Neodiprion lecontei: one gene and its partner. The protein of the gene in region 1 purifies or fractionates together with the protein of each later gene. This does not show direct contact. Links are inferred from orthologs where the notes say so. Each region holds a gene or a part of one and is shown in the gene's direction. Other genes may lie near its edges.

The links.
Region 2: the proteins of RPII140-upstream gene protein (region 1) and evolutionarily conserved signaling intermediate in Toll pathway, mitochondrial purify together in Homo sapiens (affinity purification with mass spectrometry; 3 studies listed by BioGRID and IntAct, counting the BioPlex papers as one, with this or other methods). This does not show direct contact. The link is inferred for Neodiprion lecontei from reciprocal best matches to the Homo sapiens genes TIMMDC1 and ECSIT.

The regions. Positions count from the first base shown.
Region 1 is NC_060263.1:36,265,976-36,283,234, forward strand, and holds RPII140-upstream gene protein, read left to right. Parts: upstream 1-7,158; 5' UTR 7,159-7,269; coding exon 7,270-7,436; intron 7,437-7,657; coding exon 7,658-7,912; intron 7,913-8,024; coding exon 8,025-8,273; intron 8,274-8,390; coding exon 8,391-8,511; 3' UTR 8,512-9,680; coding exon of another isoform or gene 9,681-9,851; 3' UTR 9,852-10,490; downstream 10,491-17,259. Other genes in the region: twinfilin, read right to left, coding at 9,681-9,851, 14,364-14,482, 14,611-15,270, 15,671-15,748, 15,952-15,976.
Region 2 is NC_060261.1:8,882,424-8,897,863, reverse strand, and holds evolutionarily conserved signaling intermediate in Toll pathway, mitochondrial, read left to right. Parts: upstream 1-7,571; 5' UTR 7,572-7,781; coding exon 7,782-8,697; intron 8,698-8,784; coding exon 8,785-9,083; 3' UTR 9,084-9,089; coding exon of another isoform or gene 9,090-9,115; 3' UTR 9,116-9,174; downstream 9,175-15,440. Other genes in the region: BLOC-1-related complex subunit 5, read left to right, coding at 4,751-5,563; coiled-coil domain-containing protein 137, read right to left, coding at 6,258-6,461, 6,538-7,189, 7,265-7,341; zinc finger protein 343, read left to right, coding at 10,517-10,934, 11,011-11,480.

The DNA.
Region 1 (17,259 bases):
TCCTAATCCGGTAACGTTGCGGAATCAACGTTTCTCAGGTGTGTCTCGGCTTCCTAGTCACGAAATTTCGTTCTCTCGTGTATAGAAAAACCTGGCATTCGTCCAGGCACGGATTGTGTTTATGTGCGGTGAGTATAACCCATCGAACATTACATTTCCTCCCCAGCAACGGAGATTCCGCGTCTCTCGCTCGCCGCCTTTGATATCCGTATACCGTTTTCGTCTGTTATACGTATGTACGTATACAGGTATACAGGTGCGTGTATTTTCTCACCATGGGAATACGGAGAAGGTCGATACCTGAAAGAGAGATAGAGAGAGAGAGAGAGAGAGAGAGAGAGAAATAAAAGGGATAAAAAAAAAAAAAAAAACGCGAACACCCCCTATTCAAAAGAGCCGTATTGTCCGCGGAAAACGGTTCACTTGTCGGCTACGAAACGGCCGACTGCCAACTCGAAATATCTCTTGGCAAACACTCCGGGGGTTGCGGCTTTACCTTCCGGAGCGATGGTCTCTTCTTTCTCATTCCGATCACCCGCGAAATCACCTTGCTGGGACAAAGTTTTACACCTTGTTCGACCCTCCGTTCGTTCTTTCCTATTTTTCCACGACTTTACAACGGCGGTGGAGAAATTTAGGGGAAAATGAATTCCGATTAGCGGTATTATTCAATTCAAACTGGGAAAGAGTGATTGTAACGGTGCAGTGCTTTGGATACGTGAGAGAAGGGAGAAAGTTTCTCTTCTTTGTATAAGTATAATCACTGTACATAATGGATCTCGTTAAAACCTCCGAGTTGAATTTTTACAGCAGTGCTTCCACGCGATGTCTTGTATTTCAATTTACATTTTTCTTTCAACTGATTGTGAATAATTAAATACGGTGAAGGACGAAACAAAGTGCTGAAGAAATTGTTGAACGAGTCAAACGTCGGAGAACCTTCAGACTTGTGACACGTGCGTCGTATTTGTGGAATCGAAAGCAACCAGTTCTTAACATGGCACGTTTGGACCCAAGTATTGACCCTTTTATTTTCCAAAATTATAAACTGCCGGCACGAATCGTGAATTCCTCGATAACTAAAACCAATTGCAGATTATACACTACAAATTTATTTCTTGGTAATTTTGTAACTAACGATCAAACAGATACAACCAAAAACTGTCAGTAATTGCGACAGGGTCGATAACTGGTTACACACTTACCTCACCTGTCTGAGCGCGCATAATTAAAACCGAATTCGAGACACGTTCTGCATATAATATATAATAATATGACGGCTCCGAATGCAGCGGACTTATCCCAGCTCATCTACACCCGACTCTCCCAACTTCCGGCTGTCCTATTAGCGTCAACCCCCCCATGGCATGCGGCAGCTCTTTTCTCCCATTGGCCGAATCGAAACAACTATAAACCGTAGAGAGAATTTAGAGAATTGTAACAGTCACAGCATCGCCCTCCAGGCATACACGGAACATCTCTTGTTGTACGAAAGTCAGCATTGCGCGAACGGGGATGATAATTGTTAGAATTTACCCAGCGAATTTCATCACGGCTGTATTGTTACTATTATTGTTGTTGTTACATATAAGCGTTTATGTTATTGTTAGACGTATGCTTAATACGACTGTATCACTGGCTCGATAACAAGACGAGCACTCGTCGCCTGGCGCGTGTCACGCGTATTATACAGCGAATGTCCTGATAAACCTGCAGGTTGTAATGCCGGTACCCGGAGGGAAATATTTCCGTTCCTACGTGTAGGGTGGCAAGATGGCGGGGTATCGACTCTGCGGCCTTGCAGTAGTCGTGTCACCGTTTGCACCGTTCGTAGTTTTATTTGCGGACGAAAATATTTCGTCCTGAGGTGAATTACGGACGGTAACGAAGTAAGGATAGATTGGCGAGAAAAAATCTTTTACGACCAGATGATACAGAGAGGAATGTTAATCTTGACGCGTGTCAACGATTTTCAATATCTGACTATAGCTATGATGTAATCCAGCCCCGGTGCAACGGGCCGAAACATCGATTTCAAATTTCACAAAGGACATTCCGTAGGGCACAACTTTGTTTGGTATATGCTTGTGTTGTAAGGCGTGCCTTCCTCGTTACTCATTCCGACGAAGAATTTCGCAAATCCGGACAGCTATCGTTCGCCGCGAGTATCTGGTTGCGTTGTTGCCTGAAGAGTTTTTCGCTAAGAGAACGGTAGTGGGAACGAGACAAAGAAGTAATCCAGGATAACGAGGGTCCTGGGAACATGGACGTCGTGGAGGAAACGCACACAATCCGAATCGTTAATTGGGAGAGATATGGGTTCCGCTCTTGTAACGATGGTTCGTCGTTATCCACGTTGTAAGGCGGTATCAAAACGCCGCTGCAGCGCTGTGACAAAGAGTAGTCGCTGTTTTTTTCTTTTTCATTTCATCTTTTATTCTCCAAGCATCCGCAATCGGTGATTGGTGACTTACCGCATGACAAGAGGATCGAAATGTCCCAACGGCGAATCCATATCGAATCACCATCTCAACGATTTCTCGCGCGTATTTATCAAAGTAATAAAAATCTATTTCAGGGACCCCAAGCTGAGAGCCGGAGACTTTTATAAGAAGTAGTTAATTTTCCGATAGATATGTCAGACCGCGTGCGGTATAGGTGTGAGTGTATATTACACCTATACGCGTATAACTTGTGACAAAGGTGAACCGCCTCGGTGGGTCAGCCGTCGGTATAATTAACGACGTACGTTATTGGTAATAATTAATTACTCCGTAGCTAGCCAGCTAGCTCAGTCATTGCGGCGAGAGAAGTATAATACATATAATTGTGTCGTAAATTTTGAAAAGCAACAGTCGGTGTCGAGTTCAACAAGGACGTACGGAACATTTGACGCGTTTCCATTATCAAATTAAACATCGTAAGTTTGCGTAGCCGTGATAAATTATGTAAAAGCTGATTCTATCACTGCCGAAGCAAAGTACGAATTCTGGGACTGGGACATGAGCTTGGAAGCCAATGTCCTAATCCCGGGTAGAAATTTAGTCTTGATCACATTCGGGCGTTGGACCGTCACCCTCTTGGCAGACGCAATTAGCTTAAGATAATAATCTTAAGATAACGTTTATCAAACCCAAGGTAACACGCTGTATGGTTGGCTAGTCCCAAGCTACCGTATCGTTACTTGGAGCTATTGGCTCTCTCGGATCAGGGTAACAGGTAGGTACGTAACACGCATGTAACCATGTTACATTTCCAAGATCGAACAGTAACATTATAGTCAAGTATCGGGTCTTGCGTAACATTGCAGTGATAAACAACTGGTCACAGAATTTACACCACATCTATTAAATCTGGTGTATAGGAGTAACTCACAAATGTTACATTACAGTCGTCGATATGGATGCGACGTAACCGATGTTCTTTAGTCGGTTAGAGTTACGTTACATCTGTTATATGAGAGTAATCAAGTAGTATTGCATCATGCTTATATCGATGCAACGTAACCGATATCGGGCTGCTTTGTGTGCTCATGTTGTCTGACCGAAAGGAAGGTCCTTTCAGTGTTCCTTCTTCCGGTGCTGTCATGGTAAGCTAAAATTCGGCGTGCACGGGTGAAAAAAAAACATGTAGCGCTTCACTCCTGTGTGTGAGATCATGGGCTTGTCATCCAAATTGCCGCGAACTAACGAAATGGCGGGTCTAACCGTCGGTTAAAATTGGAACAAGGTTATAATGATTCGTAAAGAAATAGTGTGATCTTCTATTATTGGTAGGACTAGTGACTATTACGGTACCTCGATCGCCCCTAAATTTTTATATTTTACTGTAATTATTAGCAAGCGATAAAGCAAACATTCGTATCAAAAGGTTCTCCGTGCAGAATCGGTAACATCAATGGAGCCGAGCCTCGGCAAGAGAAGCGAAAACAAGGGCATCTTGAATCCCGTTATCAGTTTACATTTCGCCCCCGCAATAAACTCGCAGAGAACAAAGAAGGAGCTTTAACCACCGATCAACCCTCCGGCTCGCCTCTGCGGTACGTTGTAATTTACCCCGAGCCAATTCGGAAAGCAGTTATATTTCGGCTCTGCGTATACGCCTAATGCTTCCGAATTTGTCGAAAGCCCGGTACAACGGAGTCTGATTTAAATTTTAAACGGTTCCACTCAGCGGAAGGGACGCCCGCGACCGGGACTCGAGTGAAATCGAATATTTATTCATATCATATCGCTTTTAAAAACGATGTAGGGGTAATTCGTAAATTTCCACCACTCTATTCAGTGTCGTGAACGGTGTAGAAACTTGATCGATCCGCATTTTTCACTTATAACAAAATAGTCAGGTACACAGAGCCCTGGGAAAACGGGCACCTTGATACGAACAATCATTAATTATGCAGGTGGGGTGGTACGAGACCTGAAAACTGACACTATGCAGCTGCTGTTGCCCTTCTTGCGGAGAACTGCATTATGTTAATGATGCACGGGGAGTTGTTGAACGCAACAAGACATAATCGGACGAAATGGAACCCCGATGAATATCGAAGTTCGTTTACCGCAAACTCTACTCGTATCTCAGAATGAGTACAGAATCCTTGGAGGACACGTAAGAAAAAAAAATAAAAATATACTTCGAAACATTCTGAAGTACGATAAATTACTTAACTAAACAGGCTATTCATCGCAGACTTTATTTACAATCGGCCCGGAAACGCGACAAATTTTTATAAAATTTCTTTAATTGTATCGATTAAGCAACCATACACGTTCGAGATGTCACTCGTCTTCTTTGCTTATTTTTTGGATAGTGACGGAGGTGTCACGTTACCGCTAATTGTTTACGTTTGTAAACGATCGTCTTGTCGTAGCTACAGGTAGAAATTCATGGGTATATTCATAGGACGTATACCCTTCCGACTGGTCGTGGTAATTTTGTCGTTAAATACGTGCCTAATTGCCTTATCAGTCTAGTTCTTGCGAGTCTATTATTAGGTTTGTATCTCTGACAAAGTGGCTCTACGTTATATACATTATGCAATACGGTTTGAGGGAGCTGAATCATTAATTGTACGTATTCGACTTACCCGTTGCCTGCACCAGTCTCCCGAGAATATTATCTTCGCGACACAAATCACAGATTTATCAATCCTTTATTTATTGCGTCAAAAGAAACAAGTAAAACAAATAGAAAACCAATTTTATTTCCAAAATCACCACACTGTAATTATAACTTAGCCAACTGCTACGTTCAACGAATATAATTTTTTTTTTTTTCCCCCTCCCCGTTTAACGTTAACGCGGTATATTTCTTACAACATGAATTTATAATTTAATATCGTATCGTAGATATGCGTGTACATAGAATTGTATTTTTTATTTTTTTTTTTTGTTTTTTATATAATTAAAATTATTAACTTTTTAACCATAACATATATGTATATATATTTTTTATTTTTTTTTTTTTTTTTATTTGTATTTTTCCTTATATATATAGTTTCTTTATGCTTGCTCCTTTTTTTTTTTTTCACCCCCCTCAACGACTACGCGAGAGTCTTTTTCAACTAGGATAAAATGATATGTATTATATCTCCGACTAGTGTTAGCGATCGGTCAGCGGTGTAACGGATGCATATAATCCAAGGTGCACACTTTTTCGGTTTATTTATTATTTCTATATTTTCTTTGTTTTCCTTTTTTTTTCAAATACTTCGGCTTTTCCCTAAACTAATGGAATTTCGGTTCTGTGCTCGTTGCGTCGAGTCACATTTTAGTGTGACACTGGCGTTGCGCGGTACAACCACACGGTTCGCAGCCGTTCCTCGCTCTTCGGCGCTTCGGAAACCACCCCTATCGCCCCTGTTACCTTTTCCACCCCCTGGCACACGCCGGCCGTCGCCCCCTCCACACCCCAGCCGCCGGCGGTCCTATTGACGTGCGAGTTTCTACTCCCCCGGCCCTCGCTGCCACCGACGGTCTCCCTCCTTCATCCCTGCCCCCGGCTTTCGGGGGTGGAAAAGAAGCCTGATGTAATGCCGTTACGTCACGGCGCGTCTCTGCCAGCACACCTAGCGGTACACTGAGGGAACCACGGGATTAGCATCGTGCGCCGTTTTTCACCACCATTTCCAGCTTCCGGTCTACCCGCCGATTTAAATTCCGTAAAAAAAAAAATAACTATGATTTTGAATATAATTTAAAATATCCAAGTTTCGATAAACTATACCCGTGACCAATATACAATTCAATGCCCAAGAGAATATATTCAAACGATATAACGCAATTATCGCTGAAATTAATTCCAAAATTTTTCCATGTGATGCTTCAGTTTTTTATGAAAATCATTACTTACTGATTTTTTAGTAATTTGCTGTTACTCGTGATATTGTACTGGATATATGTCAGAATTTCACCAAGTATGCTCAAGAATCATAAATAGTTAATACCATTCTTCTCGAGCCAAAGTTAGAAGGAATATAAAAGCAGTCGGTTCGGACTTAAGGTATCTATTTTCGAATCTTTATCGAAACTGAAACAAATTATTTTATTCGATTCTATTGCATAGTTTTCTAACAACAACGAATTGATCTTACCAATCTGAACTGAATTTTCTTAACTATAGCACGTGAAACGTTGCAGGAGGCTCAGTCAAGATAAGAGATATAAATGGGTGCATTTTATATGCACCTCTCCTTCCAGCCGTAATAAATCTAGCCTCTAATCTCATTGCTGTACTGTACAGCAAACTGCAGTGATGCATTTTTCATACAACTACGGTAGCTTTCAAGCTTTAAATAATCGATGTTACCGAATCGCGCCTTAACGTCTGCAACCCGTAAGCCTTGTGTGATTATTCGCTGCCTACAAAACGGCAACATCTATGTATAAAATCAACCTCTTCTTTTTGATGTTCAACCTTTCAGCATCGATTTTTCATCTTCGCTGCAGATCTGTATGCAATTCTTACGTGAATCTTAAGCTGAAACAACTTATTGAGGTCTAAGGTAACTTCTTCCCGTGACAAAATCATTAGCCAAATTTTACCGCTGGCTGATCGGCAAAAAACAAACATTCATTTTTTTTTAACCTCGGGCGGATCATCCATCGCGCATGCCCCTGACATTTTGGAGATATTTTGAACTGCTAGTTTGGCCAATGGCGTCGTCAAAATTTTGTATCTTGAGTTGTATTTTTAGGTTATGTTACATCGCACCATCCATTGACTTGCAGAGATATCGGGACCAACAATTCCCAATTCAATAGCTACAAAATGTTAAATGTCGCGGGAAGACGAATACCGTATCTGATAGGTATACATTTACCGTTTTGGCAGTATGATATACCCGATAAAACTGTACAAACTGCCAAATCATTTAACTCTGATGCGAACGAAAATGAAACCGGCTGGGATAGGTTAAGAAACATGTACAGTCTCGAGTATGTACTTGTTTTATTAATAGTAGACCTTCGTTATCCCGCTTGTTACAATCAACGCACGACACTTTCATGTGTCATTCTCAAAACTAATTTTTTCCCTTTTCAAATCGTTCTACCCTCTGTTGCCTTCAATTTGTTCTTTGTTCCTTTCTTGACATCCGCACATCGAATTGTCTTCTATCTTGTCAATCCATTAAATAATGCAGCCGTTTACGTTACAGCGAGTATGGAAACCGAAGTCCTGAAATGCACTTCGCTGTACAAGCAACATTTTTTGGAACGTTTGTTGGACTCGTATATGGAGGCTCACTGAATTCACGTATGGCGTATGTAAATTTCATGGAGAGAAATCAGGCGACAGCATTCACAAACATATTCGAGGCGAAAAGAAAATTGCAAGATACTGTTACAATCAGTTTTGCCAAGGGTGCTTATCACTGGGCATGGAGAATCGCCTTTTTCACTGGCTCTTATGTGTGAGAATCTTACGCTAAAATTTCACGCAACAAACTAATCTAGTATCTTAGAATATTTTGAGTTTCAGATTTAGCCAACTACAGTCGTCCTAAAAGTATGTTAAAATTGTAGATTACTGACAACCTCGATCGCAGTTTATCGTGGCAAGTCATCTCTTTTAGAATATGTAACTGCGGGTACTATAACTGGAGCGATGTATAAAACAATGTTGGGTCCGAGAGCAATGCTTGTTGGCGGAGCTGTGGGAGGAGTTTTCGGCGGTGTAGCTGGTGCATTGTGTTTAGCATTGTTAAAAATAAGTGGTACGACGATGGAGGAAATCCGATACTGGCAATACAATTGGAAGAAGAGCAGAGACAAGTGAGAGACGGTCACTGATTTGAACGTGCCGTTATCATTTTTCAAGTATTTTTAGCTCACTTACGTACAGTGTGTATGAATAAGTCGTTCTAATTAAAGTATTTTCTCTCATTACAGGCGAATTCAGAGTTCTATGAGTCGCGTTATCCAGCAGCCAACAGACATCGAAATGTTGCATGACAAAAAAGTGGAAAGTCTAGAGGTGCAAGAGCAAGAGGTTAAGAAAAGTAAAGCATAGTCACTCAATTTAGGTAGGTCTATTTCCATTGGTCTTGTAGATATTAGACTTTATTCGTTGTTATACATAATTATAATTTATTTTAAATTGTTCAGAGAACAATTATAATTTAATTAATAATTTCTAATAATAATATGTGGTTTTTTCTGTTTCTTTAAAGTACATTATATGTATATAACTCATGCAGACTTAATTCACTAGTACCTAAGGCAACGGCACATTTTTATGATTGCTAAAATTGTATATGAGTACGTTTAAGAAAATGGGTGTCGATCATGTGCGAATTATATTTCTTTACGTTATTTTCAACATTAGTTACACCTGTCTAACCCAATACTTGAAAAATTTGTTATATTATAACATGTTAAATTCTCAATCCTTCAAATTGATGCAATTTCCTGCAAGTGATTAAATTATGATACCTTGGATAACACAATTTTTATATAATGATTATAAAAATCGCTAATCTTATTCTCTATCACTGCAATAAACTATATACCGATTGTGCCAATAAAATACATAATCAAATTTGAGCAATTGCTGAAAAATGTCTACTGATCCCTCTAATCGAATAATTTGAATGTAAAATTCTGATCTACAGCAGCATGCATGTTCACAATGAAACGAAAATATTCTTGATAGAACACTGGTCATAATTCGCAAACATTGAGAGATATTCCTAATTCGATATTTTATGAGCCCTATTCTGCAGGCAAGTATTAATACTGAAAATTTCCATGCTCAATACTAAACATAAGTTCTGATGGAAATTCGAGGCAGCTGTTTATTGCATAGTTTTGAAGTTAGCAAAGTCGTTACCGTGTATGCAATAAATACTACATATGCTCACAGAATAGGCCTGATAATCAACGACATATACGATATGCAAATTAGAAATGTATAGAAAAAAAAAGTTCTTGTCTAGTCAACTTCATTCGATCAATATTTCATTGTACACTATAAAACGAAAACCGAATTTTCCCATTTGGATGAATAATAAACGAGAAATGTACTAGAAGTGAATAAAAGCACTGAATTTGACAGTCAAAATTAAGCAAAGAGTAATGTTGCGGAATAAATAGTAATAAAGCGTTGGGCAGTTTACTAAAATCTTACAGCCTGCTTGAATTTGTTATTGTCCTAATTGTATAATTCATCAGAGTTTTATATTAAGTTTCTTGTTCTGCAGTTTCTGGAGTTTGAATCTTGGTCAAACGTTTAGCACCTCTGTTTGGCGGACCTTTGGGTTTGGCAAACTTAGGTCGGTGCAAATTGACTTTCGGATGTAATTCCTCTTGCAAAAATTCCATGGTTAGTTCCTTTCCGTCATCAATCTCAAGCTACAGACCGAAAAATTTTGCATAAACAGAATTAAATTTCTACAATTTTCAGTAACAAGAAATAGAGATACTTGGACGTTTCAAGCTCAAATTATCATCCAAATGTTACGATTGGATATAAATAATTTACAATAAAAAATCATGGTATACCAATGTCAGGCCTATACTGTAAGCTTATAAAATATAATTACTAAATATTAAACGCTATTACGTACCCGTACGATGATGTTATCACCCTGGCATTCATTCCCACCTATTGAATTTTATTTGTCTATTTTCATTTACAATATACGTATATAGCAAAATAAAATTATTGAAAGAACTGTGGATTACAGTAAGATATTGACAAAAGCAAGAAATATTCTTTTTAAATTGTATAATTGTGTTTATTATTCATAATATATTTAATATTGGCAAGAATATACAATTTATTTGTTCATAAGAAGGAACCTATAATGTTTTTAACAAAATTTTCTTTATAAATAATCAATCAATACAATGAACGCATCTTACAGAATAGGCCTGGCCTGGAACAGTGGTACTTATAAACATAATTTGCGCCTGGGCGAACGTGTGCGTCTCCCCCTTATGCATATATCGGAACACAATTTCAAATTTTGAGCGTCGTATAGAAAACCATTGGGCCCGAAAAAATTTTAGTATAGTTCTATCATACAAAACTTAGATGATCACGATTTTTCCACAAAAACAGCCCATGTAAATTTGTGATATGAATAATACCGTAAATCGTTTCTGTTATTCATATTTATATGGTTTACTATTCAGATAGAAAAAAAATATACAGGAAATATCATATTCGGAAATTCGATGAATTCAATCAATCGCCATTGTATTTCTACATTGAGCGTTGAGACATATACTTGCAAAAAGTTATTTCAACAGTGGCGGGGGATCTGGGGGGGGGGGGGGGGCAATTTCTCAAGATAGTTTGTGACTACGATAGGATTACGAATTCACAATTATTTTTTCTATCAAAGGTAGATAAAAATGCAAAAAAAGTGACCACGTAAATTTGCATACTTTCAATTTCATGTTTCTTTTCTTTTTTAACAAGTCCCAGATCATAAGTTAAAATCCAAAGATTTCTAAAACGCTTATAAAAAGCTACAAGAGTTAAAAAATACACGTCACGAAAAATATAATGCCTCTCGAATATCATCATCTTGTTGTTGCCTATCTGACAACTCTCCCACTCTGTATAACTGTGTAAATTTTGATCAATATTATGCTAACTTTATACATAGATATAACAATTTTGGCAAATTCGAATCACGATTGATCAGTTTCGCTGATTGTATCGTTAATCATAGAACATTTAATCTCCAATTTCGTTTTATATTCCTTTGATATCATGTCTGGGGAAATATTTATCGTGTAGTAATGTATACTTGTATCAGTGATAAAAAAAAGCTTTGTGCAACAAGATTGGGCAATGATTCTTACAGGCAATGATACAGATATATCACTCTTAACCATTGGACATCAACCCAAAGTGCTTGGAAAGTCAAGAGATAAGATGTATCTATTAATATCGTGTAACTAATAAGAAATAATTCTTCGATAATAACTCAAGATTTCAAAGAAACATATGATTTTAAACTGTATTTAAATCAGCTGCGTCAATATTTTGCATAGCAATAAATACATTCAGTAGATATTCGTATTTAGTTTTAAAAAAAAAATTGGTAAAAATTGTTGGGTAAGGAAATAAGAATCAAGTCATCTGATTTCGTTTGGTAAAAACAAGATAGGTACATCAAATCCATTATTTCTCGGCTCTAATATTAGATTTTTCGAAAATCTCAACCGCTAAAAAAATAATCCATGATGTTTGATCCAAATTTTAGAAAATTAAATTACCGTTCAAAAACAACATAGTTATTCATAAAATGGCTTTGTCGATTTAAAGAAAAAATCCAGATTAAATAAGATACGAATGTTTGAGATAGAATTTTGAAACAATCAGTTGATTCGCATCATAAGGATTGTTTGGTTCTTACTCCGCACTCAAGGCTCACAGATATACAGCAAGTGGGATGTGCTGCGTTCAGTCTTACGTCGTATATATATTTGTGAATTTTAATATGTCATATTATTTATATATAATATAATAGTATAGAGTATAATATATATAACGCAATATGTATATATATATATAATATATATTATATACATATATATTGTTATCGTCACTATTAAAATGCAAATAACTCGATAATGTGGAATGAATATAGCTCAACTCTGACGTTAAACAATAACATTTGCACATTTTTTATCATTTGTCAACACAATGTTATCATTAGAATATGCAGAGCAGTCAGGTTAGTGGCGTTAGCTAGCTAGAGCACATGGAATTCTTTCCTAACTCTCTAATAATCACATTCAGCTATATGTGGCTTGCTGAAAATACTAAATTATAACAATACCGTCCTACACCGCTTAAATTCTATTTAGTGTCGACATTGACGTTTGGAATTAAGGCCCTTAAGTTTCATCTAAAGACATTAATAGACAACTTATATGTACGTATCACTTGATTTGAGACTAGGAACTAATTTGAGACAAGGTATATTATATACTGGGTTTTTATACATTAAACAACTATGTGCGAGTAATTGCTTTGTTGCTCTTCTTTCTCATTGTTACGTGTTAAAACTCGCAAACGGCAAAGATCGCGACAGATCTATCAGTTTCAACCATTCTGAATTAATTTGAGTAATCAATAAACGTATTCGTTAGTGCAAGCTACCTGAGAAATAAACTTTATTTTATTTGTCATCACTATAATATAATATTTTTATTGATTAAATATTTTTTATATATAGTTTTTTGATTCTGGTTATGTATGCACGACTTTTCCAATAAGGTAAAAATCCTCCAGTTAATGCATTAACTCAAATCTGGCACGTGACAATTTCATTATTATTATATTCAATAAACCTAAGGGCTAAAATTCGGCAAGTGACAAAGCGCCAAGCTGCTATCGAGTCTACAATGCGACTTCATATGTAAAGTGTACTAACATTAATATATAGGTACGAAAATAATGTACTAGTAAAATATTTTTGATGCGAACTTGTCATAAAAACCCAGCAGTAAGGGCCTATTTTCCAAACTGTTTGAGACGTATAATTTGTTGCGATGAAAGTTGATAATAATCTCCCTCCAAAAAACAAACGAATAAAAAAATGATACATCATACTCGTTCAAAACAAATCTAAATAGTTATTAGATATATTTTCTGTACGTAATATTCTTTTCTTTTTTTTTTTCTCTCTCTGTACCAGAGATATATAGTATATACGAATTACTTAGACAAGAATTTGGCTTACCAATTTTGGTATTAGAATTTAGAAAAATACACCATTTGGTCTACTCTAATTTACTAAATAGATGCATGTTATCACTTTGAACAACTAATTCTAATAATCCAGAGATGTTGGTATCAGTAAATGCGTTTACTTTTAGAATGTTTTCAAATTTCAATTCAATCTACACAATAACATGTAGAAAATTTTATAAAAACAATATTTCCTAACTTGGAAAATCAAAATTTGTGGTGTAATCAGCATGCGTTGTTCTTGTGGTTGTTGTTATTCCTAACAAATTTGAGGTTGACGTAGTTTATCGATAATAGTTTTAACTGCAAATTTAATGTTTCCAAGTGGAAATCATATCACCTCCCTTTGCAATGTCAGAACCGTTTTTGAAGCAGCAAATATTAATTGGAGAACCTGTTAACTCAAGACGCACGAGCGTTTTGGTTTAGATTTTTTATCAGGTATAGTTTGTGGAGGGGCAGAAGGTGTTGACGGAGTGGCAGGAGTTGTTGCTGCAGTTTCTTTTATGGTAGGAGGATCTTCCAACATGTCCGCTAACTCTTCGCCGCTATTTACTTCCAACTGTGATTCGTTATATACAAATATCCAATCAATTTCAACGATTTCTCCTTTTAAATTTTCATATATTTGCATAACTAAGTAGAGTCGGCACAAACTAATTTCTCCGAGTCCAATAAATTCCCTGCACTGTCACAGTTTAAATGAATTTCATTACTTTCCAATAATTAATTCCAAAATTTACGCGTCATCCGTTATGTGATCACAAGCAAGTGTGAAAATTAGTAAGCAAGCCCACTTTTGGAAAATGGAAATTGCTGCTATACTTTTCTCAATGGTACTTTATAAGTTTCTATATGTACTTTACAAATTACACAACTCGAAACAATGTAATGCCAACATCTGGCTAATATGTAATTTGCACAATTTTTTCCTGTTGATTTCCTTTCATTTTTTTACAAAAGTGTGCAACAGTGGTCTCTTTTTCAGATTATCTGTTCTGTACAAAAGCTGGAGATTATTGAAATTCAATTTCCAGGAATTTCAGTCACCCAAGATAAAAATACATGTTCTCGTCGAGCATTGCCCTGTTATATACCCACAAAGCTGCGACCCTGAAAGCGTTTGAATAGAGTAACTTAATTTGGCTCACCTTTTTGATTATGTTGACTCCCAACGATTGAATAAGATCTAGAAGGGGTCCCTTGCACGAAGAGTACAGCATTCGTTCTTTGATGCTGCAACTGTACCCGGGCATGCTGTATATGAAAACTGGAAGATATAAAGTACAAGATTGTAAAAAAAAAACTGTTATTGCAGAAATACAGTGTAAATGATCTCCTTTCATCAAGTAATACCAAACACGTGAGCCAATAGTTCATAAAGGGCAGAATGCATACCGATATTCTCCATGTAATCACCCTCGTGAGTGTGTTTGAAGTTGTATAAATGATATCTGGCAGAATCAGCTGGCACTTTAGTTGGCAGTTTATCTAATGAGACATCACAGGCCATGACCAAATGTATCTTCTCCTCTTCTAGGTCGATTTTCAGCTGAACATACTCGGTAATTCCTTTACCAATGTCGTTAATGGCCTGCTTGGCTTCTTCCGTAACAGGAAAAGCGACACCGCTCAAAGTCTGCTGTCTTGTTTCAACACTGTAATCAGTGTGTACAGAAGTTTTCTTGATCTCAGCCAGCTCCTCTTCAGCTGTTGTCAGGGGCGCGGGAGCAGCGTCGTTCCTTTTGTGCTTATGGTATCCTTCTAGCGTAATGTCCTCAGGGACTGTGCCATGCAATTCTTCCTTGAAGGAAGCCGTTCCAAATTCCTGCTTGAGCGTAGCCTTCGTTGAGGCGTAAAGCATCTTTTGCCTTATAGACGCAGTGTCGGGTGACCAAGAAATGAACAACCAGTCATAGCCGGAGTCAGGCGATTTTGTATCAAGCCGATAAAGGATGTAGGTTGGCTGGTTTTCGACAATCAACGGTTTTATCAGCTTGTCGTAGTCGTCCTGCCATTTCCCGACAGCCTTGGAAGAAAAGGCAGGTACCAACTCCTCTGAAATTATTATTTGATGATTAAACTTGATCAAGTTTTAGTAATATAGCATGCCCAGGCGCCTGGTTAAACCCTGAGTTAGATTGGCTCGTTTGGCAGCAGGAATCATATGTAGACTCAGCTCGTAATTACCAATTAGTCTACTGTCAAATGTGAATGACAGCAAGAGGGAGAGAAATAATGAGTGTGTGTTAAAAATTGGTTGGCTGAGGTGATGCAGCAACTAGCATGAACATTTTATTTATAGAACTTTTACGAGTTTCTCGTTATGTTGTCTATACGGGAAGCATTAAATTTCGCGATAAGCGTCGCGTACCGGGAATCGTTATAATAAAAACGAACTACAAGGTATCATATAAGTCCATTACAAGTGTAAAAAACAATTACAAGGTTTCCTCACCGTTTTCGATGGAAACTTTGAGCACGCGTATCTTTCCATCTCGGCATTTGGCAAATAATTTCTTGAGCGCTTCGTTGGCTGGAAAAAAAAAAGAGGACGAACGTAAATCACTAATTAGATAGAAAGAGAAGGAAGGAAGAAGAAAAAACGGAGGCGAGAGGGACCTGTTTTGAGGTTAAAAAAAAATTGCTCGTAATCTTTCGAAAAACGATTTCAAACGCAAATATCGTTCGATCGCATAGCTCCACCTCGTTTTTTCCTCATACCTCGTTCATCGTTACCTTTGATTCCCGTTTGATGTGACATTATTTGCCTGATGAAGGTATCTTTCACCTACTGCGGAACCAGTCGAACTATTATTTTTTCCCACCCACTTCAGACGGCTGTTCTCCACAGTACTTCAGACCACTTCGGACGACCACCTATGCCTACAGAGATGAGCGTAAGTCGTTCGCGCAATGCCAAGGACAGCCTCTGATTGGCCACGCAAGTTCATATAGATACGGATCGCTTTGCGCAGCCAATTAGAAGCCTCGTCAATCTCGCATCCCGCAATGTCATTCCGTAACAAAAGATGATAGCTGTCAAAAAATAATATGCGGTTCTTTCGAATACAATGCAATTCCTCAAGAACGAGGAAGTTTGCCCGCCTTATTGATCGTCGCCAAAGATTACGTTGTGATCTTATTCCCCCGAAATTTACGGAGCTACTTACATACTAATATATACGACAAAAAAATCTCTGAGCCAAGCGTAATTTTCATCTTAATTATATTACACATATAATGCGGTCAACCACATTTATAATGAAGGACTCGTATGTTCAACGAGGGTAAATGTAATTTTAGGCTTAATTGCTAAAGTCAGTTACGGAATCTGATCAATGGTTGGTCACTGCAAGGGCGTGATCTGTACGATTGTTGTTTCATGCAACACGATGATGCGTGACCGTTGCATAACTCGACGGAATAACGCTGATTAAACACATTTACAACACATTGCATGGAAAACTAGGGTAGATTTAAATCTGCTGTGACAGCGTACCGATACTGGATATAATCATTTTTTGAAGAAACCAACTCGTCAGTGTTTCAATAACATGTTTATCTGCGCAAAGTAAGAGCGATAATTCGTTATCTTTCGCTATCAAATGAGTAAATAAACGAAAGACCTAATGTAAACAATTACAATGGCTTCCTACATATTCGATGGTAGTTTTCGAATTTCCCGCCCGTAGAGCAGCGCCACTCTGGTTCACGGTTCCGCGTTCCCTACTTCAATTCCAAAATTAGTAAATAAAGATGGTGGCAAAGTTTGAGCCGTGTGGCGTATCGCTGCTCGGAAAATGTCTGATAAAATGAGGTGGAAAATAAAAACCGGAGTGATATCGTCGATAAATAAAAACGAAACAAGGACCCAGTGTTAGGGGTGTTAGAAAGGACACCAGCCGACGTGTAAATAGTGTGTTTATCTTTTATTTCGATATATATTTATATACCACGATACACATACAGGCATATACGTATATATTATCTTTTCTTTTCTACAATTTATGTAAGGCCGAGTAACCGGAGAGGAACTGCAACAAA
Region 2 (15,440 bases), on another chromosome or scaffold:
ATCAATTTAAAATAAGCCAAAGCAGAAAATAGGAGTAAAGAAACGGTTTAGCTTAAATACGACCATCTAACAACAGATCATCTTTTCTACATTTTCTGCCATCAGATGGCGTCCTTCTAGTTCTAATCTTCAGATATCCAATAACGCAAGTTCTAATAGTATAATCGCCGCTTTTAATTTATTCTGTCAATTGCACATAAACTTAGTTACTGATAATTAGCAGTAACTTGTCTCTCATTGTGTCATATTTACAAGACTCCTTAAGAGAAGTCAGTGTCTATCAACCGTGTAAAATATGACCAATTTATAGTGTTACGCATCACTAATATTAGATATTCTCGCGTGAAACAAAAAAGTTATTCGACATATTTGGTCAGCGCTATAATATACGTATACAACTGCGCTTATTGCGCTATCGATACATCAATGCCGATTACGGGCTCCAATAATAGTTAAAATGAGCAACGCTCTACTCTGTCGTTAAATACGAACCATAGCATCCCGCTTAAGACCGGAAACGGAATTACATTGAAAGAAGTATTCGACACGTGGTGGCCACGTTTCTACAAGTACGACGATGCAGCTCGGCAGCCACGTTCGTAAGAAAAAGAATTTTCCTGGTTTAAGTTTGAAGGAAAATTTTCTTGTTTGCCCAAACGGAACTGAATACCAAGCAGCCGTGCCTTCGCACTTAAAGTCAAATTCTCTTACATACGAGCGCTGCACGTATGATTTAAACGTGATTTTCTCTTCTCCTATGTATTTTTTTTTTTTTTTTTATTTGTTTTCACTCTATTCTTTATTTTCACTCGTCGTCATTTTTCATAGGCGGATCCTTTGACCAGGTGACCATGGAAGCTGGTCGCGGTCTTTGAGGCCGCGTTTCAAAGTTGTTGATGCTCTCTTCAAGTCGCAATCTTACGCGATAAAAATCGCTTTGAAACGCAGCCCAAACGAAGCCGGGGACACGCCGAGGCTCCGACGGACATTAAATTGAAATTGCTCAGCTAGCTCTCATGCATACATATAGCATATATACGTTTATATACACAGCGTACTATATAAACATGTTGTGGCTTACAAACTGTTACATATATCAACGGGACGGGAAAACTGTAGATTTTACAGAACGTGTCATCAAAAAAGGGAAGAGCCTCCTCGCTATACAGCCATAAAACTGCGCGCCAAAACTGCTGTTCTTTGTTTTATACAAGTATCTATATCGTATGTATGCAAAACGTATTATGCCTGTTTATGTGTATTTATGTCGTTTTGTCTCTATTCGTACACTACTTTCAAAGAAAGTTTCAACGATGGTTATCCTCGTATATGCTGTACATCGCAGTTTGTCGAAATCTTGAATCTCGTATCTACTAAACTTCGATTTTCCCGTTGTATTCTTCAGGGATTCTGCACTCACGATCTTATCATTTTTTATAAAACTTCATATTTTTATACAGACTTACGATAAAACTTCTCCGACCTAAACCAAGTTTTAGGCTATCCAAAACTCATTCTAGTTTATTCGTTACTGACAGTTTAAACATAGTTCACTTTACGATGAACAAATGTGACATTTTTTAAAAATAATTATGCAAGTAAACAGTAATGTCTTCGAAATTTTCTCTGCAGTCTATATACGGTAAAAGTTTTTCTTTTCTTTTTCATTTCTACGGTTGCTTTGTCGTAAATTATAATTATGACGTAACCGAATGCCCATTTTCCCCAATTACTAGTCATTGAAAAAACTGAGGAAAAATTACTACATCCAAAACAGGGCAAATAGAAAGAATTCGATGTAGCCCGATCGAATATTGTTTGAATATTTAGGTAATTAGGAAATCGTAATAAAATTCATAATCCCGTTAATCCGACGATTTAAAAAATCACCCACCTTGACGAGATAGAGAGTAAACTGTGTTTATTATCGTCGATAAGAATCGTCAGTTATCTGCGGGATTTGCACTAAGAGACTGCAGTGCTCGTTACAACAAACCCGTAATTTTGTACGCAATTCGCCTGTATAACATTATCAACGATGAAGAGCTAAACATTGCCTATTGCAGCAACGTTGCTATTGCGTGAGTGATAAAAAAAAAAAAACTATATCAAAGAGTTTGTAAAAAATGTAAGTATCCGGCACTTGAAAACTTTCGTAACTTTACGTGTAAACAGGGATCATTGTTCGATTAATATTCGATATTTCACCAGCTGTACAGTCACTGTATACCTAATTATTTCATATTCAAAGCTGAATGAGGTTAATTTACTTCCGGTTCAATGCTTTGAAGTAAAATTTCATAATACATGTCAATAAACTTGTAGAAAAATTGTTTCTGACAGTATACAATAATATTTTCTTTACTTATTTATATTTTTTTTTTGAACCAAACTGCATAACAGATAAAAATGAAAAATCATGTCTTCATTAGCACCGTGTAAATGTTATTACAATACCGAACGGTATAACATAAATATACCCTATTGGGAAACCGTTATTACAGTAAAATTCTGTAAGTATGATGATAATTATATCCAGTAACGGTTACGACCGCGGTTCAGATGCAGAAACTCGCTAACTGCACCTTGGCGAAATCCAGGAACTATTAGAAGTCCCGAGAGCCGGATGATAATAACGACTTTTAAATAAATGGGGGTATTCATTTCGCCAAGTCGTCGCTGCTGCATCTGTTTCTTCTTCTTCAGCTATTTCAGAGCAAGCGGAATTGTCGTCTCGGGTACCAGACTGTGAGATGAATGATAAGTTTCATCCTCGATGATTTATTAATGAAGAAAATCGGTGCATGGATCAGGATTTCAAATCGAAGATCCGAGACGCGGAGCGAGCAGATTTCGAGCCCGCGTTGAGTTAGATGGTATGCAAATATACGAAGATAGGGATCGTGCGCCACATGCGAAGCCGAGTGGAAGAAATAATGAAAAGAGGAGAAAAAGAAAAAAAAAAAAAAAAGAAATAAAACGGAACACAGAAGACGTAAGAAACAGACGCGGTTGCAAAATCAAACGGTTGGCATCACCGATGCATTAGATATACATCTTGAAAATCTATATTTGTTGTACAAGATGAGTATATGGTATATACCTGCGCATTTACGTAGATATATACACATTATACAAATAAATAAACATATACTCACGGGATTTGAAAAGATTCGCGGCGTGAGGAAAAGTTGTAAATTTCAAAATTATACATTCATGCGCTTTGTATCTAGGATATGTATGTATATTTCGTATGTAGATACGTGCGAAGTGCGACTGATCTATGGGTTGCGAAACGAGTGGAACTTGCAATCTTGTTTCAAAGAAACAAGCATTTTACGTATACCTTGACGTCTAACATATATACATATACATATATTTATAAACATAGCTTATACACGTGGTCCTCTTGACATGGCCATAAATATTTACCGTCCCGTACATACCTACGGACGTATAGATGCGCAGAACCGTTCCGCTGGTATGATCACATATTTTAGCGATTTGCGTGTTGCGTTGCCGCGGAATATGTCATTTCACCGCGACCTGTTGTTTCGTAGATTCAAGTCGTACCCTGCAGCGCGACGGTTTTCGAAAGAACGCTTGAAAGACGTTTACATCATTCTGATAAGGTCCTCGTTATGATATTCCACGATTATCACATTGTTTATTATACATATTCATCGCCATTTATGTACGCATCGCGCGTGTTAACCCGTTCGTTTGTTACACCAAGAAACAGTTGATAATTACCGGTTGCACATATCGTATGATTATGGTTAGAAGAATAATGAATTATTCTCGAAATAAAAACACCCGCACTCACAATGCCTGAGCATACATAATGCAATCGTGCATCCTATACATATACAGTGTTACCAATCATTACGAATCTTGCGGTATAAAAACATTGTACACGTAATATCCGTATCGTTTGCAGAACGCGTACCGCTGACTGAAAATATATGCACTGGGTAAATAAAATTCAATTCACGGTAGACAGAATATCCCCTGTATGTAAACGCAACAAATCCGGTTAAATTTCACAATAAACATTGAACGGACAGGTGTTCATTTCGCTGCAGATTCAAAGAACGCGCTAAAACAAGGGTCGAACGTGTCGTGAGCCAACTTACCGACGGAAAAAAATCCCGCGATGTTTTTGATTCTTCTCCGCAGGTGCCGCCTGTGACTAAAATCAGTGACGTCACTGGCGTAGCCCATATCTTTGTCATCGCGGGACATGGGTTCCAATGGGTTCATTTTGTGTAGTCGTCTGATGGCGGACCCGATGATTTTGATAGTTCAAAAGTCATTCTGAAAAAAGTATTCGGTTATAGCACGGGTTAACTAATTGTGTTATGTTTACGATATTCATCTCTCACAAAATCGCTTATTCCCAATGAAAGAAGTAAATACGTGAATTGAAAAACAAAATTATTCGTCATATATGAACTGACGGACGCACGTCAACTGATCGATATATGAGAACTTCGAATTGAGAACATGATGACAAACTTCCACTGACAGAACTTACGTACGTGCTCTAAGTAGCAAAGGTACTCATTTGTTTGGTTATTATTATGCAACCTTGATTGTACACAGAAAACCTAAGATTCGCTCACATATTGCATCCTCAGAATCGAACTATTACAATACTTTCCTTTATCAGGCACTCTTCACTTTACTCTCTTTGGATAATTTGGAAAAACTGCCTCTTTGAAGATTAAAGTATCTATTAAATCAAACGATGGGATCCGAGCAGAGCTCTCAAAGCAACGATATACCAGGATCAGAGAGCAGCAGAGCGCGAGCGGTTCAATTGCGGCGTGGAAAGAGCGTTCCGAACCGAGATGGAATCCCTGAAGACACACCGCCACGATGTACGAGTCCCGGACCGAGCATTTGCTCGGATTCAGATCTGCCTTACATATCGTACACAGTGAACAGGCCAATAGGAGATTCACCCAAAATGACGAATAAACAGGCCCAATTGCAGCGAGGAAAGAGCCTCGGAACGCAGGAATTATCCAAGCGAAAACCAGGTATTGGTGCCATTGGGCACAGAAAAACTCTCTCGGACAAAGCACACAACATCGTAGTCGTCAAGCCAGCTATTTCTGAGCCGACTGCAGACATGGATGCTGATCTAGTTAAATTGCATAGCATACCGATGTTTCTACCCATTATGAGGGGAACTTTGAATTTGCCACCTGGAGTCAGAGACCCTGAAGTCTTGGAGCGACTGGATCCCATCGGTTTGTTCAATCTTTGCGCCCGATATCAACACCACTTGAATACAAATGCACAAATGATTGCGACTGAGCAGTCCACACTCAACACCACCCTCGACGTCGAAGTTATACGAATATTCAACATGGCTATAGACAGGCAAAAGAGATTCACAAAGTTTGCTGAACAGCTGAATAAGATTCATCATATCAGCCAACAACTGGACAACTGCCACACCCAACTTAATTATACTTTAGAAAGCCTCGAAAAGCTCAATAACTACCTACCAGTTAATAATCGACTTGAACCATTTGTTTGGACAACTGGATAAGGATTTAACACCTTTTCATCAAATACACTTCTTCAAAACTATTTGCTGTCAGCATTTGATACCATATCAAGTAATCAGCTGTTTCGTGGCAATTATTTCATGCATTCTATAAAAGATGAGTTTAATTCTAGAGTAAAATTATAAGTTGCAGGACAGGAGAAGTTCGTTTGCGATAAAACTGTAAGCTTGGATAGTCTAAAGCACATGAATTTTCAGAAATCGTGCTCATATTTATGCTTGTCAAATATTTCAATTGTTTAGACATTTCAAAGGATCTAAACACTTGGCATTTCACAAGATAAGAGGCTCTTATTACTTGTTTTGTTCTTTACAGCACTGTTATTTTATTTTAGATTAGTTGAAACCGTTTGCTTCATGTTCATCATCGTCATCAATAACAAGCAAAAACAATCTATGACCATTTAAATCGCTGTTTTACTGTAGCAAATGCTATTCATTTTGTTTCAATATTATCAATGACAATTTTAGCAAAGTGTAACCTCCCACAGTTTTCCCAACTACTTCTCTGCCAAAGTAGAATACCGTGAAACTTAACCTCTATATTATATATACTCTAATGTAATTAAAAAAATATCGTAAATAAACTGATCAATTTACACACACATTTCGTCCTTCTATTCTCTGCTAAGGCTCTCATATGTACAAATACTGATCACACGGCCATTGCCCATGGTCATAAATCAGCAGCTTTCCGAGACTTCAGGTTTCTGTATGCAGTTATGGCTTCTTTCTGTCGTTCCTCCAGTTGTCTTCTTTCCCCAACCGGGAGATCTTTGCGTTTTCCAGATCTATTGACAGACTTAACGCCTGTTGTGTTCTCGGCAGATTTGTCATGGCTCTTGAAAAGCGAATCAAGAAGAAGACGTCTTCGTCCAGGCTATCGGAAAATCATCGGTAAAATTAATCCAAAAAAATACAACGCATAACTAATCAAATATTGGTAAGGTTTTTACCCGTTCGGAGTGAGAAGCGTCTGCTTTTTTCGGTTTGATTTTTAGTTCTGGAGGAGCGTGGACAACATCTCCAAATTCAATAGTCTCCTTGAAGACCTTGAACTCGTCTATATTGTCCTGCAGTTTTTTAGTTTTTTTCAACTCGAGCTTGTGTTTCCTTTTCTGAGCTTTCGTCAGCCTAGTCGTCTCGGTGTCTTTCTTCTTTTTCTTTTTCTTCTTGGTATTACTGTGCTTCAATTTGAGTCTCATTAATTCATCTATCTCATCCTTCGATCTCTTAGACAATCCTTCGATATTACCAGTACTTGGATCTCGCTTGACTTCCACACCATATTTGTCTTCAAACGCAGTCTCATTTAAGAACGCCTGAGTCTCCGAGTTCACTCGGTTCAAAAAAGCCTTTCCACATTCGTCTGGTCTTTGCGAAAAAACAGGAACAACTTTCTCCGGTCTTGCCTTGGGATGAGCGATCTGTGGATGGTGATTGCCCATCACGATCAGTTGATTTTTCAGCTTCGTTTTTTTCTTGGTATTTTTCTTCATCATCTTACCGTCCTTCACGCTTTGCTTCAGCTTCATCACGCGCTCAAGACTCTTCGGTATCGCCTGCTCATCCTTGTCCCTCGGCGGCGCGTTTATCACTTTGTTTAACCTAAAATTTGACACGTTACGATGATCAACTTAACCTACAAAATTTAATCACACAACTCCACGCAACGATATTTACTCTGATAAACGCTTCTTTTGTTGCTTAGTCGGGTCCTTCACTCCTCTGTGTTTTTTTCCGGGTATCTTGCGTCCCATTTTCACTTTATTTCATAACTTCAATGTTTCGGCTGTACTTATGTACTAGTTCCAGCAGCACGCACGCTTCGAATTTGGACCAACCAAACTTATTGTTTAGCCACGGATCGCAAATCCCGACAGTGCTGCACTCGTGCGGAGTTTTTACGAACGATTTTTGTGCGGCAAAATTTAAATTTGGTGAATCACCCACCGGTGGAGGCTCCGCCGGCCGCGGTGTTGAGAAAATATAACCTAACCTCTCAGCAATCTTATAACCTCGGTGTGTAACCGATATTACGGAATGGGATGTTAAACATAGAGGTTTTTCAAAGAATATCAATTACACATTGCATAAAATACGAAAATCGTTTGACCGGCACGCGGATTTAAGCATTACGACTATGATCGTGCCTCCGTTAATTTGAGAAATACAACAAACCATTATACCAAGTAGCAATATGACATCGATAATAAGAAGATCGTATGTGTTGCTCAGGGTTTATCCAGGAATGAGAAAAAAGTTGATACTGCACGACCTGAAAAGTTACCGACCAACAACAGCTTTGCGTTGCATATCTGTGACCAGCGCTCATCTGTCTAAAGACAATAGTAACAAAAAAAATGAAGGTAGCAAGGCGGTGAGTTTTTACGGGTTTGCACAGGTTAGAAGTAAGGAGAAAAAAACGTACTTAGACGTACTGCGAATGTTCGTCGACAGAGACATTCACAGGCGAGGTCACGTCGAATTCATTTACGCAGCAATGAAGCACATGGAGGAATTCGGAGTCGAAAAAGATCTAGAGGTATACAAAAACTTGATCAATGTACTACCGAAGGGGAAGTTCATTCCGGAGAATACGATACAGGCTGAGTTCATGCATTATCCAAAGCAGCAGCAATGCGCGATAGATGTCCTTGAACAGATGGAAAACAACGGAGTTATACCAGACAGGGAAATGCAGGATATCCTTCTCAACATATTCGGTAAGCTGGGATTTCCGCTGAGGAAGTATTGGAGAATGATGTACTGGATGCCCAAGTTCAAAAACGCGAGTCCATGGCCATTGCCAGAAGTTTTGCCCAATGATTCTCTCGAGTTGGCCAAACTGGCCATAGAGAGAATTACTAGCATCGATTTGCTCCGAAAAATCACAATCTTCCAGGCAAAAGATCTCGAAGATTCCATTGACGATACTTGGATTGTTTCTGGAATGAGTATTGGTCAGAAAAAACTGCTTAACAAGCATGCTTCCACAGCCCCCATATATGTGGAAGGGCCTTTTAGACTTTGGTTAAAAAACTTGACCATTAATTACTTCATACTGAGGGGAGATCCTGTTCCAAAACCTGACCTACCACCGCCTGACGACGATGGTAAGAAATATTCTTCTAAAAGTGATTTGTTGTCTTTTTCCTGAAACTCTCTTCGCCAATCTAATTAACAATAATGATCTTTTCCAGACGTTAGTAAAATTGAATTGCCATTTTGGAAAACAAAAAAATCTGTGGTACCGACTGAAGATGAGACGGCGATTCACGAGCAAGAGGATGGCACGATATTTGCTGTTTGTGCGACTGGAACCTCTAGTCGCGACTCTCTATTATCTTGGATTAGATTTTTACAGAAAGAGAATGACATCTTAGCTAATATTCCCATTATATTTAAGCCAAAGAGTCCCTTAGGCGACGTTGTATTGGCCAATAATAAATCTGACAAACCTAAAGATGAGGGAGTAGAAAATAAAGTTAATAAAGATTAGAATTTCATGTAAACAATTTCACCTGTACATAGTAAATAAAAAATCTGCGATCGTCGCTCAGCAATGCTTGAGCTATTTATTAAAAAAATAACATTGACTGGTGTGGTTTTTTAATTTCCCTGTAACTTGTTCAGTTTATTTTTTCTCTATCGCAATATTCTTCTAAATATGTATCAAGGTTTACATTTCAATGATAAAATCGTCGTAACTGAATGCGAAGTAAAGAATTTAAATGAATCGGAAAACTTACGCTGAAACTGTTGCGTGTTTAATTTCAATTACACGATCGCGCTGATCGAATGTCAGTTGAGCAGCGCTGTTTTCATCAAGAAAAAAAAAATCAAATCCCTATAAGAATGAAAACCTTGTCGCGGACGTATAAAAAAAATTAAACGATTAGCGTGAATTAATTTTCTCCGAGTCGTAATGACGGTTTAAAAATCTGTTCAAAACAAGGATAACTATAACGGGCAATGAAAGTATTTCTATGCTAACTGTGATAGGTAAATATCACGTATGTAGAAAAATCACATCACCCCAGCAGCTGATAGGATAAGATGGCCGCATGTGATACAAACAAATAATGGCGAGAGATCCACAAAGTTCGCGGGAATAATGCGGGTGAACGGTAAGTGGCATCTCGTACATTAGGTTTAAAAATATTCCGTAAAAGTTTGACATTTCATTCAGAAATAGACTGTCAAAGATAATCCGCGCGCGGTACTCGTTCACCGCCTTATCAATGTCTAGCTCACATCCTACGCACGTATCTTGACCTGCTCAATAACTTGTAATTGAAACGATGCTCAGGACTGCCTAATAAGGGTGGACACTGTACAGTTGAAGTTGAAATACTAGTATTTCATTATTATTTCGTACGGCGAACTGCGAGGCAAATTTTTATCCATATCGGCGTGTTTTTTCATCGATAGAAACGTTCTAATTTCAACAGTTTCGAATCTGATTAAATAATTACCTGTCTCGTTTCAATGTACATATTTTCACTTCGTACGCACGTAGGTATGTAAATATTCACAAGTACTATATGCAGCAAATAATAAATATCAACGCATTTTTCCACTCCCGTTTAAAACTAGATCTTTCTACGTAATACATACGAGATAAGAAAATGGCCACGAATTTATTTTCGGCCGTTCATTCTCACATAAGAATTATCAACACTTGCAATTTTAACCACAATTACTGAGCGTATCACCCTTTGCTTGAAATTCATGTCTTGAAATCGCGATTAAACCTGTCTTTCAGAAAGTTTGAAACGATCAATGCGAGGACAAACTTTCACAAACAAAATTTTTACGAATAAATATAAAATGTCGTATCAAAAGTTTATCTTAAGAATATTATTTCTTTACCTGTTTGTTCATTCCTTGTTTTTGACTGTCTTCAGCGCCCGATCTACGGTGGAAATCCAGATGCACATGAAAATGACGTATGTTCCGCGTAATGCGAAATATTTGACTGATATTCAATCTAACATGACTGGTTACACGTATCCTGGACATGCTCCACCTCTGGGATCCCATAATCAGAACACAGATGAAAACAGGAACGAGAATAGCTGTGGAAATAAGGAAATCTGTCAGCAGAATAATCAAAACGATACACAGCAATCGTCTGGGACGCAAACCGTACAAAAAGTAGACGCTGCTACCATGACCGATCCACTGCAGATCGACTTTAGACTGACCTCCGAGTACTTGGCACGATGTTCAAGCACCTTAGGTTTGCCTTATGTCTTTAAATATGAAGATAATAGCAACAACTCGTCTCATAACTTTCAAAATGTTCGGCCAAAGTTGGAATTTGAAGTTGAGCCGCAGCACATTAACGGTGATTTATCCTTTTAATAGTCATCAAGAACCCCTCTTTTCCTTTACACGAAAGTAATGTTAATGCTACTCCACAGGTATGCTAGTATATCATTGCCCAGAGTGTGCGTACAGGTTTGACAATCGAGATGCGCTGCACGAGCATCTAGAAGATCACAGGCAACGGCCACATATCTGTGATATTTGTGGAGCTAGTTTGAAGCGCAAGGAGCATCTGGATCGACACAAGCAAGGTCACAACAAAGACAGGCCTTATCAGTGCTCAATGTGCTGTAAGGCTTTCAAACGTAATGAACATCTTGCTCGACACATGATCATTCATTCAGGTAGTAAAAATCAAATTTGTACAGAATGTGGTAAGGCATTCTACAGAAAAGACCATCTTAAGAAACATCTGCAAAGTCATAGCGGCACTAGGAATAAGAGCAACTCAAGTAATTCTCAAAATAATCAAAATGCGCAGAATTCAAATGAAGAGGGACTCAGCAATTTTGCAATGATGATGAGACAAGCTGGACCGCCACCGTTTTCTATTTTACGCACTTAGCTGTGACTAGATCGCTTTTGTTCATTAGTCACATAGTTTACCTAGAATTCATGACTTGTATTTGAATGATTTTTCTTATTTCAATATGATGATGATTTTTCACCCTTATTCTGCGATTTTTTTTTTTTGTAATATAAGAATTCAACCATGGTGCTGAGTACTGTTTGAAATAAATAGGATTATTCTCGTTTATTATATTTGATTGTGATAAAATTAAGTAACAGGGAATTCGAACAAAACGCACTAAAGATACCATGAAAAAAAAAAACATAGTAACTAAAAACGTTAAATTATCTTTTTTCCCACAATATGTGGTAAATAAAATTTGTCATTGGGATCAAAGTAAAATATATCATAGTTATAATGTGTTACTAATTTTTGTTCTGAAGCTGTGCTGTTCGCACAATATGATTCTAATGAGGTGCCGAGTATGCGGATTAGTTCCAATCCAATTTTATAATCCTAGTACTCGATAATTCACTAAAGAATTCTTTTTCACCCATTGTAACTTGAGAGTGAGTACTTTTTTCCAACTCAGAGAAACAATGAGATGCTCTTCTTCTGTGTTGACTTATAGTGATGAGTATCATAAAATATTGGTATAATATGAGTTTCATAATTATTTGTATTTAAAATTGTTAATTAAGGTTGCTGTGTGCTTTTATACAAGCAATGCAAAGCGTTATTATGTGAAAACAATTTTCTACCACACAGCATACACCTAAAAGTGATGCAGCTAATGCAAATACGTAGAAATTAAGGTGTTGTTCTAATTTGTTAGATCACTTTGTTGTAATTTAAAATTTTCGAGATGAGTATGTACCTGTGACAGATAAATTTTCCGAAATTTTGAAAACTCAACGCAACACTTCTGTTAATCTATTTAAAGGAAGCATGTAAAGGTGTTGATTGTTATCGAGTTACACAGTTTCAAAATACCAGTACTAAATATTTGTTATTTAAGGTTTGGCAGCGTTACTTATTATTATAATAATAACCTTTGTATGAATTGAGCTAATCATGGATCACCGTCATAGCGTGTGAATGATTATTCGCTGCGTATTAAATTATTCCAGCATGATAAACTTGATGCTGCAGTTAGTAAAAGAATATAGGACCCATGATGAAATATCAATATTTTAGCAAAAAACGATGCTTATTTATGATATTTGCATATATACACACACCCTCACACATATGTATATATAATAGATACAAAAATCAAATTACGTATCTTATCCACTAAAATTTAGTATGTAATATTTACAACCCTCTATAAGAGTATGGAGTTGCCACGTGTACCTTTTTTCTGGAAGGGGTGCATTATTGCAACACTGCATAGTGATTTTTATATTTCGTTAATTATTGAGAAAAGTGCCAGAAATTTTCTATACGTACGTGTCTTTCGGATAATTGTTTGCTATGTTGATAAATCAGTATGTTGAATAAATTAGCTTTTTGCTACGATAGCAAATAAACAATGCGACAACTTTGTTTGAGAGAATAAAGTAACGGCAACTCTATATCTGTCCGATTTCTATGTATAGCTATATATCATGTATAATATTATTCATACAAAAGAAATGCATGTACACACATTGTTGTCTATTCGATCTGTACATTATATTTATTATTGAAGCTAGACGAATTTATTGTATTGGTTCAACTTCATAGTTTTTAAAAAACAATACTCACATATACTAACGTTTGTTATTTACTGTAGCGAACATATTTAAATTAATAAATCATTATTATATACAATTATACAATTAAAAAATATATACTATATATATTTGTCTACTCATTGATTAGAATTGTTCAGGTTTTTAATATCTGAGGAAGTTAAATTCCTACCAGCAATATCCTTGTATTGTGCACTGTTGATGGTAGTTTTTTGCAGAATGAGCTGGTCTGCTAAAAACTGTGAACATCGACCAGTCTACTTAGCTTGGAAGAAATTAAAGCGATATTTTTGCTCTTACTTACCTTTGGAAACACATTACTCATCATCTCACGAGCACCGCTTTCAAGTAGGTAAGATGATATTTATTGAACAACTTCTGTCAATGCTGGAAGATGTTAAAAATTTGTTAGCGCTTCTTTTCATTTCGTGGCCTACATTCATTTATTTATTGTTTTCTTTGCTAATGTTAATATGTTTATGCAATCTAAACAAAAAAAAAACAAAAAAAAAAAAAATTGAGAGCGCCAGAACGGTTAATTATTAATTTATAAAATGTTTGATATCAGTCAGAAAAGAAAACTAAACCAATATATTGTGTATCACTTATAGTTACACCTATCTATGTACCCTAGAAAAATGGTACATGATACAGTGATACACGAATGCTATGAAAGTGTAATAATAAAACGCAAAGTACAACTGACATAATAAATAGCGGTGCTTGCAAACGATCATTATTAGCCATGTACCTATAGGTAGGTTGTTAAGACGATAAGTTCCAGTTCAAAATAATTTATCACTGTACATACAAGCAAATATTTTTCGTGCATTAGAAACTTTCAACTTCCTGTAATATTATTTCGACAAAATAAAATCAATTTTAGATTTTTACAAAACGATAGTGTAACTTCTTCATTGACTATTGTCAAATTGAAAGGATGCAAACTTAGATGTGATCGAAACGTAGGTAAGACATAAGTAAGTCATTTGCACTACTGTTGACACTCACTATCGGAAAAGTTGAAGATTTTGTACTATGTCGAGGATTTTGTATATTCATATTTTTATCTTTATTTAAATTTATTTTTTGTATTTTGCTTCTCTTCATCACTTCTGTGCTGGAAAATAAGTTTCAAATTGCTGCTTCACCGATTACCTTTACGCACGTATAATTCATTCACTTTTGTTCTACATAATTGATTGGTTTTAATACATGAATAATTCCTAATCACGTATTGAGATATTATTCAAATTCATATAATTTTAGTGTTACAAATAAATTTCAACACTGTAGAAAAATATGATTTTCGTTTATCATTTTGCATTTGATTACAAAGTTTTGAATTTCGTTCACAGATTGGCACTGAGAGACGTTAAGGTTTTAATATACGTATTAAAAATTTCTATTAATTTTGATTCGCTACGTATCAGATGATATTTGATACACTGATTTGAGGTAATAAGACAAATTGATTCACAACCATGGGTTTTACAAATGTCAAGCATTACTGGACTTTTATCCGTTGCTAGTCGTATGTTAGATAAATTAAAACAAAAAAATTTGAGTACAAAGAATAGAAGAAGAATTTCATATATAGAGTATTACTTCTCATTTTTGAGACCATTCATTTTATTTCGTCTATCAGTGTCCAATCTCCATGAATCAGAATAATATTCAGAAGTGTATCGAGGCATTGAGGCTTTAGCAAGAATGTTGTGTACACATATATACTTTAAATATTGCTTTATGCGCTTTTTCTGAAATAAAATTTGATATTTATTATCTTATATTTCATTTTAGGCGCACGAAATTATTATACGTTCACTCTACGTCGTCGGCAAAACTCATGTAATCTGTTCTGAAAATAACTAATATTTGGGTTTTCTTTTAATTACGCTTATACTCAAATTGTTACGAATACTAATTATATTTTGTGGATAAAATATAATATTAGCTCAAAGTTATATATATATAAATATATATATATATACATATATATATATGTGCATATATATATATATATATCGATCATAATGTTACACTTACATATTTCCTTCGCTTAGGTTTAGTTGCATTACATTTTCATTACCATTAAATTTATTCTTTCATATTACTAAAAATATTTCTTTTTCTCAGTTCGAAGCATTCCTCGATAATTTTTTTCTCTTTTCATTCTTTATTATGTTTTTTTTTTTTTAAATCTTTCTTTAAAGTTAGCAATCGCGTTATACAAAATTGTTCAGCCACACTTTTCAGCACAAAACACTTCATATAT